Pelodiscus sinensis: one gene and its partner. The main gene of each other region encodes a partner of the protein of the gene in region 2 in a complex. Links are inferred from orthologs where the notes say so. Each region holds a gene or a part of one and is shown on either strand. Other genes may lie near its edges. The genes, in order: TYROBP and SYK.

Region 1 (3,907 bases), on a different chromosome or scaffold from region 2:
GGCCGGGGCCCGCCAAGCATTGGAGCCCCACAGGCCAGCGTGCAGATATGTGCAGCTCCACACAGCCCCTCTCTCCCTGGCACACCCTGAGCCAATCACACCTTCCCTCCCCTGCCTCCTGGTGCCCGTGTCCTGGGACTGACAGGGCGGCAGCTTGGCCATGGGAACTCGGGCCAGTCACTTCCCATCTCTCCGACTGTTCTGATCCCAGCTCCCTGGGGTCGATCCAGAGTCACGCCTGACTGCAGTGGGGGCAGGGCAGGTTCTGATCCCGATCCCAGCTCCCCGGGGTCGATCCGAAGTCACGCCTGACTGCAGCGGGGGCAGGGCTGGTTCTGATCCCAGCTCCCCGGGGTCGATCCGGAGTCATGCCTGACTGCAGCGGGGGCAGGGCTGGTTCTGATCCCAGCTCCCCAGGGTTGATCCAGAGTCACTCCTGACTGCAGCGGGGGCAGGGCTGGTTCTGATCCCAGCTCCCCAGGGTTGATCCAGAGTCACTCCTGACTGCAGCGGGGGCAGGGCTGGGGTCGATCCGGAGTCACTCCTGACTGTAGCTCCCTTGCAGTTTTTGTGCAGTGAAACCAGCTCCCCCTGCCCACCCAGTCCCTAGGTCCTGCAGGGCCTGTGGTCAGTTTCATGCCTCTGGTTTCTGTGCTAGGTGCCAGCCCCTGTACTGCAGGGCTAGGGGTACAGCATGATCCTGCCCTGCCCTGTCCCAACGCCTGCCCCCTTCGGCTGTCCACGTCTAACACCCTGAGATCACTAGCAGGTCTAGGAGGGGAGTGGGGTCTAGTGGTTAGAGTAGGGGGCTGGGAGCCCTCCCTGGCACTGCGACGGGAGCGGGGTCTAGTGGTTAGAGTAGGGGGCTGGGAGCCCTCCCTGGCACTGCGACGGGAGCGGGGTCTAGTGGTTAGAGTAGGGGGCTGGGAGCCCTCCCTGGCACTGCGACGGGAGCGGGGTCTAGTGGTTAGAGTAGGGGGCTGGGAGCCCTCCCTGGCACTGCGACGGGAGCGGGGTCTAGTGGTTAGAGTAGGGGGCTGGGAGCCCTCCCTGGCACTGCGACGGGAGCGGGGTCTAGTGGTTAGAGTAGGGGGCTGGGAGCCCTCCCTGGCACTGCGACGGGAGCGGGGTCTAGTGTTTAGAGTAGGGTGGCTGGGTTCCATTACATTAATGCAATGAGGGTGTGCCAGGGCTGAGGAGGCCGGAAGCCCGAGTCCTGTGGTTGGGTATTTTTAAGCACGCAAAAGCTGGAGACAGAAGGAGGAAGGATACATAGAACTGGGGGAGGGGTGACCCATAACTAGGAGCCCGACAGAGCAGCCACAGGGCAGCCAGACAGCTTGTGGTCCCAACCTCACCCACTTCCACTACTAGGTCCCTCTGTGCTGGCCCAGTAGCACCACTCATCTGGGGGAAACTGAGGCAGGGAGCAGGGTAAGCGATGTGAGCAAGGCCATGCATGGGGCGAGTCCAGGAGCAGTTGCTCCCTGCCCCAGCTCCACACACTCCGGCTGCAACCTGGCTCCCCAGCCCTCTGCTCTTACCACCGGCCTCCCCTCCCAGAGCCAGGAAGAGAAACCCGGTGCCCTGGGCTTGCCCATCTCCCTCCAAGTCTTCCCTTGGAAAGCCCAGAGTGGGAGTGGGACAGGCAGCGTGGACCAGACACCAGATGCCAGCTGGGGCCCCCGATCCTGCCCCCATTCCCCAGCATCTCATGCTTGTCAATGGACCACTCTCCCCTGCAGTGCTGGGGGCTGGTGATTGACAGGACGCTTGGCAGGTGGCGGGGGGGGGAGGCAGGGGAGGAGCAGACTGGGCCAGGCCTGTGGTGCGGGGGTGGATTCCATTCGTGGCAGGCAGGACTGGGCTGCGGGGGGGGGAGGGGGGCAATGGAGGCTGGGGAGGGGGCTGTTGGGGATACTGGTTTCCACGAGTGCCTTTTGTGTGATGGTACTGCCCAGTACGCAGTACCAGCACCGGCACCTCTGGTCAGAGCTCAACTACTTCCCCCCTGGAGCACCGGCACCTTTCCTTTTTTTAAAGAAAAAGCACTTTGTGGCAGCCCAGGCAGGTCAGGGGACCCCGTGTGTGTGGGGGGTGGGGGTGGGGGGACATCTTTTGACAAAGGGAGGAGAAAAGGGGAAGGCAGATCCTGGAGGGTAACTTGGGTGTTAGCAGGTTGGGGGGGGGAGAACGGGCAGCTGGGTTGGGGAGGAGATAGTTCTGGGGGCTGTGGGGAGAAGACTGGGGAAACTGTGGGGGAGGGGAGAGATCTGGGGCAGTTTAGGGGAACAGTGGGGGGGAGACAGCTTCTCCCTGGAGGGGTCAGACTCACCCAGCAGCGTCCAGGCCAAGCCCAGCAGGGCGCAGAGGGTCGGGGCTTCTGGGGGGCCCATGGTGCTGGGGTTCGGCGGAGGCTGGTGGAGGGTGTCTGCCAGGCACTGACGTCCCCGCGGGAGGGGCTGGGTGCTGGGGACGGAGCCAAGTGACTGGGCGGACAGGAAGTCCTCAGAAAGAGGAAGGGATAAGGGGAGGGGCAGCCGGGGAGCTAGAGACTGCAGGGCTCTGTCTGTCCCCCCCTCCCCCCCCCGGGCCAGGGTAAACTTCACTTCCCCTGTACCAGATACTGTACCCTGATACGTCTCTGTGTTGGGCCCTGCACCCCACACCTCACTGCAGCCCAGTGTGCTGGGCACTGCCCCCCCATCACTGCACCCCCACACCACAACAGTCCAGTGTACCCCCAACTCACTGCACGGCGGACATTACCCCACACATCACTGCTCTTTCTGGGCTGGGCACTGCACCCCCAACCCCACAGTTTAGTGCCTCCCCCAGTGCAACCCACTGCCTGGTCACCGCATCCCCCATCCCCACTGAACCTCATGCACTCCGATCCCTCACTGCACCCCACACTGCTCTGCCCCCAGCTCCCTCCCTCTGCCAGGGACCGGGCCCCACAGCTTCACTGCACCTTGTGAGACGGCCCTTCTCCTCGCCCCTCTGCTGCCCCACAGGAGGCGGAGCCTAATCTCAGTTCCTCCCCTTGGGAATGGAGTTTGGTCAAGAGGAAGCCTGCAGCCGCTAGCACATACGCACCCCTCCCCCGCCTGGGTGTGGGCAGCGACACACCTGTCTGAACGTCACACACTAACACCCCTCCCCCGCCTGGGTGTGGGCAGCGACACACCTGTCTGAACGTCACACACTAACACCCACACAAGGCCGCGTGCCAACGGCCCGGATAGTTGGCACCTAGCGGCCCTGCATGGCTCCCAGCAGCAACACAGAGCAGCAGCTGGCTCCCTGGGCGTGGGGTGGAAGCATCCAGGGGTTAGCCGGTTAGCCAAGTACACACATTTTAACGTCCTTATCCGGGCCGGGGCCGGACAGGAGCGGGACCGCGAGAGGGATCACCGCCCAGAGCGACCCAGCCGGGCCAGGCTGTAACTTCCTGTTCTCGGGGCTTTCTTCGAGCTCCAGCCACGGACTCGCCCGAGAGCCACGCGCATTGCGGGGCTGGGGGACAAATTGCTCCCGTTGGGGGCCCACGTCTCCTCGAGGCTTCCAAGTCAGATTGGCTGGGGGGGTCTCCCGGTGTGAGGCAGGGCGGTGGAATACTCCAACCTTCCGTCCCCGGAGGGGTGACACCAGGTGGTTTTCCCCCGTGAGCGTGACCCTGAAGGGGGCTGACGAGGGCCTCCCGGGGCTGGCACCGTGAATCAGTGACACATGCACACACCGCTCCGTGCAAAAATGCTCCCCCGAGATGCCTGCCCAGAGAGGCTTGGAAAGAAATTGTTGATGGCCTGTGCTCCCTTAGGAACTAAGGGCAAAGATGAAGAGATGCCGGCTCAGCTCCAAGTTGGGGGGGGGGGGGGGGGGGGAGCACAGGCCATCAACACAC
Region 2 (3,907 bases):
CTCATACAAAGAGGGTTACAGGAGTCAGAGTAAGAAGTCCTCCACCTTGACAGTATTTTGACACTTTCAAAATAACTTCTTGCTGTGTATATGCGGACTAAGTTATTTCGGAATAATGCTAGTTATCTTGAAATAGCGTTGCAGTGTAGATGTACCCTGAGAGGAGATATGATAGAGGTCTATAAAATCATGACTGGTGTTGAGAAAGTAAATAAAAGTTATTTACTTGTTCCCATAATACAAGAACTAGGGATCAAGTGAAATTAATAGGTAGCAGGTTTACAAGAAACAAAAGGAAGTATTTCTTTATAGAGCACAGTTCTGTGGAACTCCTTGCCAGAGGATGTTGGGAAGACTAGGACTTTAACAGGGTTCACAAAAGCATGGAAGATAGGTCCATCAATGGCTATTAGCCAGGATGGTTAGGAATAGTGTCAGAAACTTTTTTCTGACAGGCCTCTGTCAGAAACTGAGAATGGGCATCAGGAGTTCGATCACATGGTAATTACCTGTTCCATTCATTCCCCATGGGGCACCTGCCATTGGCTACTGTTGAAAAACAGGATACTGGGCTAGATGGACCTTTGGTTTGACTCAGTATGGCTGTTCTTATGTTAGTAGTCTTCAAACATATTAAGGGCTGTTATGGAAAGGCTGGTTAACAACTATTCTCCATGTCCACTGAAGGTAAGATGAGGCAATGAGCTGGATGTGCAGAATGAGAGAGTAAGGTTGGCTATTAGGAAACACTTTCTAAATATAGGGCTAGATACCCACATCCCTAGTGTAACCATACACTAGAACAGGTTCTCTAAGGAGGAGGTGGAATCCCTCTGGGAAGTTTTAAAGAACAGGTTAGAGGAAGAGGATGTGTCAGGGAGAGGCTAGGTTTACTTGGCCCTGCCTCAGCCAAGGTAGCTGGACTTGTTAACCTCTCCAAGTCTCTTCCAGCCCAATAGATTGTTTTCAATTCTAGGAAACCCAGTGGAGGTTGCCTGTAAGGCTTTGGAGCGGACAGGCAAGCGGAAAGGGTCGCTCTAATGCAGCCAGCTTAGGGGCAAGGCGAGGCGCGGAGGCGAGCCAGGGAGGTGTGGAAGTGCAGGGAGTGTTTAGGAGGGCCGGGTTAGAAGCGGCAGCCAGGAAAGGCAGAAGAGGAGCTGGGCAGAGCCGAGCTGGCGCATCCTGGCGCGGGAAGCCCGAGGCCGCTCCGCCCGTGTCCCAGCTGTTAGGCAAATAACGCGGGCCGGGGAGCAGCTGCCCGATGAGGAAGTGTGTGAGCTGAGCCAGGCTGGGAGGAAGTAGCCGGGGCGGCCGCCGCAGAAAATGAGGAAGCGAGGCTGTCACTCCCTCTGAACGCGAGGCTGGGAGGCAGCGCCCCGGAGCGTCTCCTGCCCAGAGCCGCGACCCCCGCGGTAAATCCGCAGCGGCGGCTGCCTCCGCCCTACCCCCTCCCTTTGCGCTGCTCCGGGGCTGGGGGCGTCCCCCGGGGAACCCTCTCTGCAGAGGCGAGGACCCCCGGGTGGCTCAGCCGGGAAGGCTTCCCGCGGCGGCTCCCCGTCCGCCTCGCCTAGGTAAGCGCCGCTGCCTGCTCGGGCAGGTGAGGGAGCCGCGGGCGGGATGCGCGCTCCGGAGTCCTGCGGGCACCGCGGGGTGTGGGTGTAAGGCGGGGGGAGCTTCGCGTCTAGACTGGGCTGCGCGCGTGGGTAACACACCAGGGCAACCCTCCTGCGGGCACGCGGGGGATGCGCCGCCCCCAGCACGGACCCCTCTGCTTGCCCCCGCGGCGCGGCGCGGGGAGGGTGTTTCGCGCCCTGCCAGGCACGCTGGGTTGCATCCAGTAACAGAACACTTAATTGAGCGGCCCCACATTGCAAAATTCACACACAGGCTCACCAAGTTCGGAGGGGTTCGAATCTGCAGCTTCTCTTTGGGCCCACCTGTAAGATCACATTTAAATTGCTTTCCTGGGTAAAGTTTCCTCAATTAGGTTTCTTTGTTTCATCCCAAGCTTACTTTTCATGTATAAATTGAAGAACAAACAAACAATGTATCATTTACCTAAATAATAAGAGGTAAAACACTGACCATGCCATGGCAAATTCATGTGAATCAGCTACTGATGCTTTTAAAAATATTGAATACATTTGTAAGGAAAAAAATTAGCCCCGAAAAGCAACAGAAGAAAGCAATTCCACAAAGCAACTTAATATGTAAACAAATAAAATATATCAGTTTGTGAAGGCAAACACAAAACTCTTAAGTTATAATTGTCTTTCAAGTCAGCATGAACCAGTAAATGAGCATATCTGGATGCATGACTATGAAACTGGTTTGTTCTGTAAACAAAACAATGTTGTTCATAATTTTCATGAGATGTTATTACCGGGACACTAGGTACAGTATTTTCGTTCAGAGTTCTGAAGCCTGACAATTTTTATCAAATGTCTTTTTTTTTTCTAATAAAAAAGCTGTCACCACTATTTATTTCAATTTTACAATAGTGAAACTCCATTGACTTCAACAGAGTGAATGATATAAAAAATGAGAGTATAGCAAGTGATGTCTCAGGCCAATTTTGGGGCAAAGCCAGCATTCCTTTCTCGGGCACAAATACCTTTGATTTCAGTGGTGTTGGATCAAGCCCAGAATCAAATTTCTTAATTTGGCTTAATTTACAAGGTAGTTTTGGAAAGCATTTCCCTATTATGATTAATTTCCATAGTTCAACAAACCATTTACATTCTCATAATTTTGGTTGGTATCTGTTATTTTGGGCCTTCCCCTGCAAGCCCCCTCCCCGCGTACAAAATATTTGCTTTTTCTGTACCTTTGGAATCAAATGTTCAGTCTGATTCAAATGCATTGTCCTGGCACAGACCTGATAAGAATGTCAGGGCCATAAACAGTTAGCCTGAGAGCATTTGGAGTGGGTACTTTTACAGGAACTATGACGCTTTCCTTTCTCAGCCATTTGTTAAGCTTAAGACGGATAAAAGCAGAAATAAGGAAGCTTGAGACGGGAGTGTGTTTTTATTTTGTGACTTTCTGGGGGAAGGGAGAAAGGTTAAGAGAAGGGTTTCATAGATAAAACAACTCAAAATAAATATTTGAAACCATTTTAGGAAGATCAGAATGAGTAGTTTAATGACTAATATTTATTCTGATTTTCATATTTAGTTGGAGGAATAATTAAAATCCACAGTTGTATTTTATAAAGCTTTCAGGTTTTGTTTCTATTAAATAATAATAAAACACTGTAAAATCAAAGATATAAATTTTAGTCAGCTACATTTCTACTTCCAAGTAAGCATGATTGTATTGATGTCAATGAGAGCAGAATTTGACCTATAGAGTGGGGGGGGGGGGAGGGAGTTATTTTGGAAACAGTTAATGGATGTCTTTTTTAAAGTAGTAGGAGCCAAAAATAATATGTTAATACAATTATATGAATGTTGTTTTCAATGTTTTTAACTTTAATGACTACACAATAATGGCATTAATTAATTTGATTCCTTTCTTTTGCACTTCCTATTTAAGTGCCTGCTATTGCTTCCACTAATCATGTCAATGGTAAAACTACTGTTGAAGTTAGAGGATGCAAGTTTTAATTTTTTAAGTCAACTTACATCTTTCTCTTTCATTCCAAATACTGATATGATATACTGTATTGAGACCAATTTTCACAATGGTGTTCATGTTGTATGAGTCTGATATTATTTGACAGTGTTATTTATGTTAATTTTGATTTTGTAAGTCTACCTAATGAGTTGCTCTTCAAAACCTACTAAAGTTATTAGAAAGACTTACACTAATGCCACTGGACTTTGGATCAGGCCCTAGAGGCAAAGGAGCACAGGGAGTGACTAAGCCAAATTCTTCCTCCATTGACACGTCTTTAAATTCAGAG

Evidence for each region.
Region 1: the proteins of SYK (region 2) and TYROBP are in contact, whole or in part, in a crystal structure (PDB 7Q5W), measured with the Homo sapiens proteins. The link is inferred for Pelodiscus sinensis from reciprocal best matches to the Homo sapiens genes SYK and TYROBP. Residues at the interface, in NP_001167638.1 of Homo sapiens: Arg22, Arg42, Asn46, His62, His63, Tyr64, Thr65, Ile76, Ala77, Gly78, Gly79, His92, Asp97, Gly98, Leu99, Arg175, Arg195, Arg197, Lys212, Leu214, His215, Tyr216, Arg217, Ile228, Pro229, Glu230, Gly231, Lys232, His243, Lys247; in NP_003323.1 of Homo sapiens: Pro90, Tyr91, Gln92, Glu93, Leu94, Gln95, Arg98, Ser99, Asp100, Val101, Tyr102, Ser103, Asp104, Leu105, Asn106.

The regions. Positions count from the first base shown.
Region 1 is NC_134734.1:4,220,719-4,224,625, forward strand, and holds the start of TYROBP (TYRO protein tyrosine kinase-binding protein), read right to left. Parts: upstream 2,832-3,907; 5' UTR 2,397-2,831; coding exon 2,336-2,396; intron 1-2,335. UniProt on the Homo sapiens protein: Adapter protein which non-covalently associates with activating receptors found on the surface of a variety of immune cells to mediate signaling and cell activation following ligand binding by the receptors.
Region 2 is NC_134716.1:48,173,385-48,177,291, forward strand, and holds the start of SYK (tyrosine-protein kinase SYK), read left to right. Parts: upstream 1-1,148; 5' UTR 1,149-1,571; intron 1,572-3,907. UniProt on the Homo sapiens protein: Non-receptor tyrosine kinase which mediates signal transduction downstream of a variety of transmembrane receptors including classical immunoreceptors like the B-cell receptor (BCR).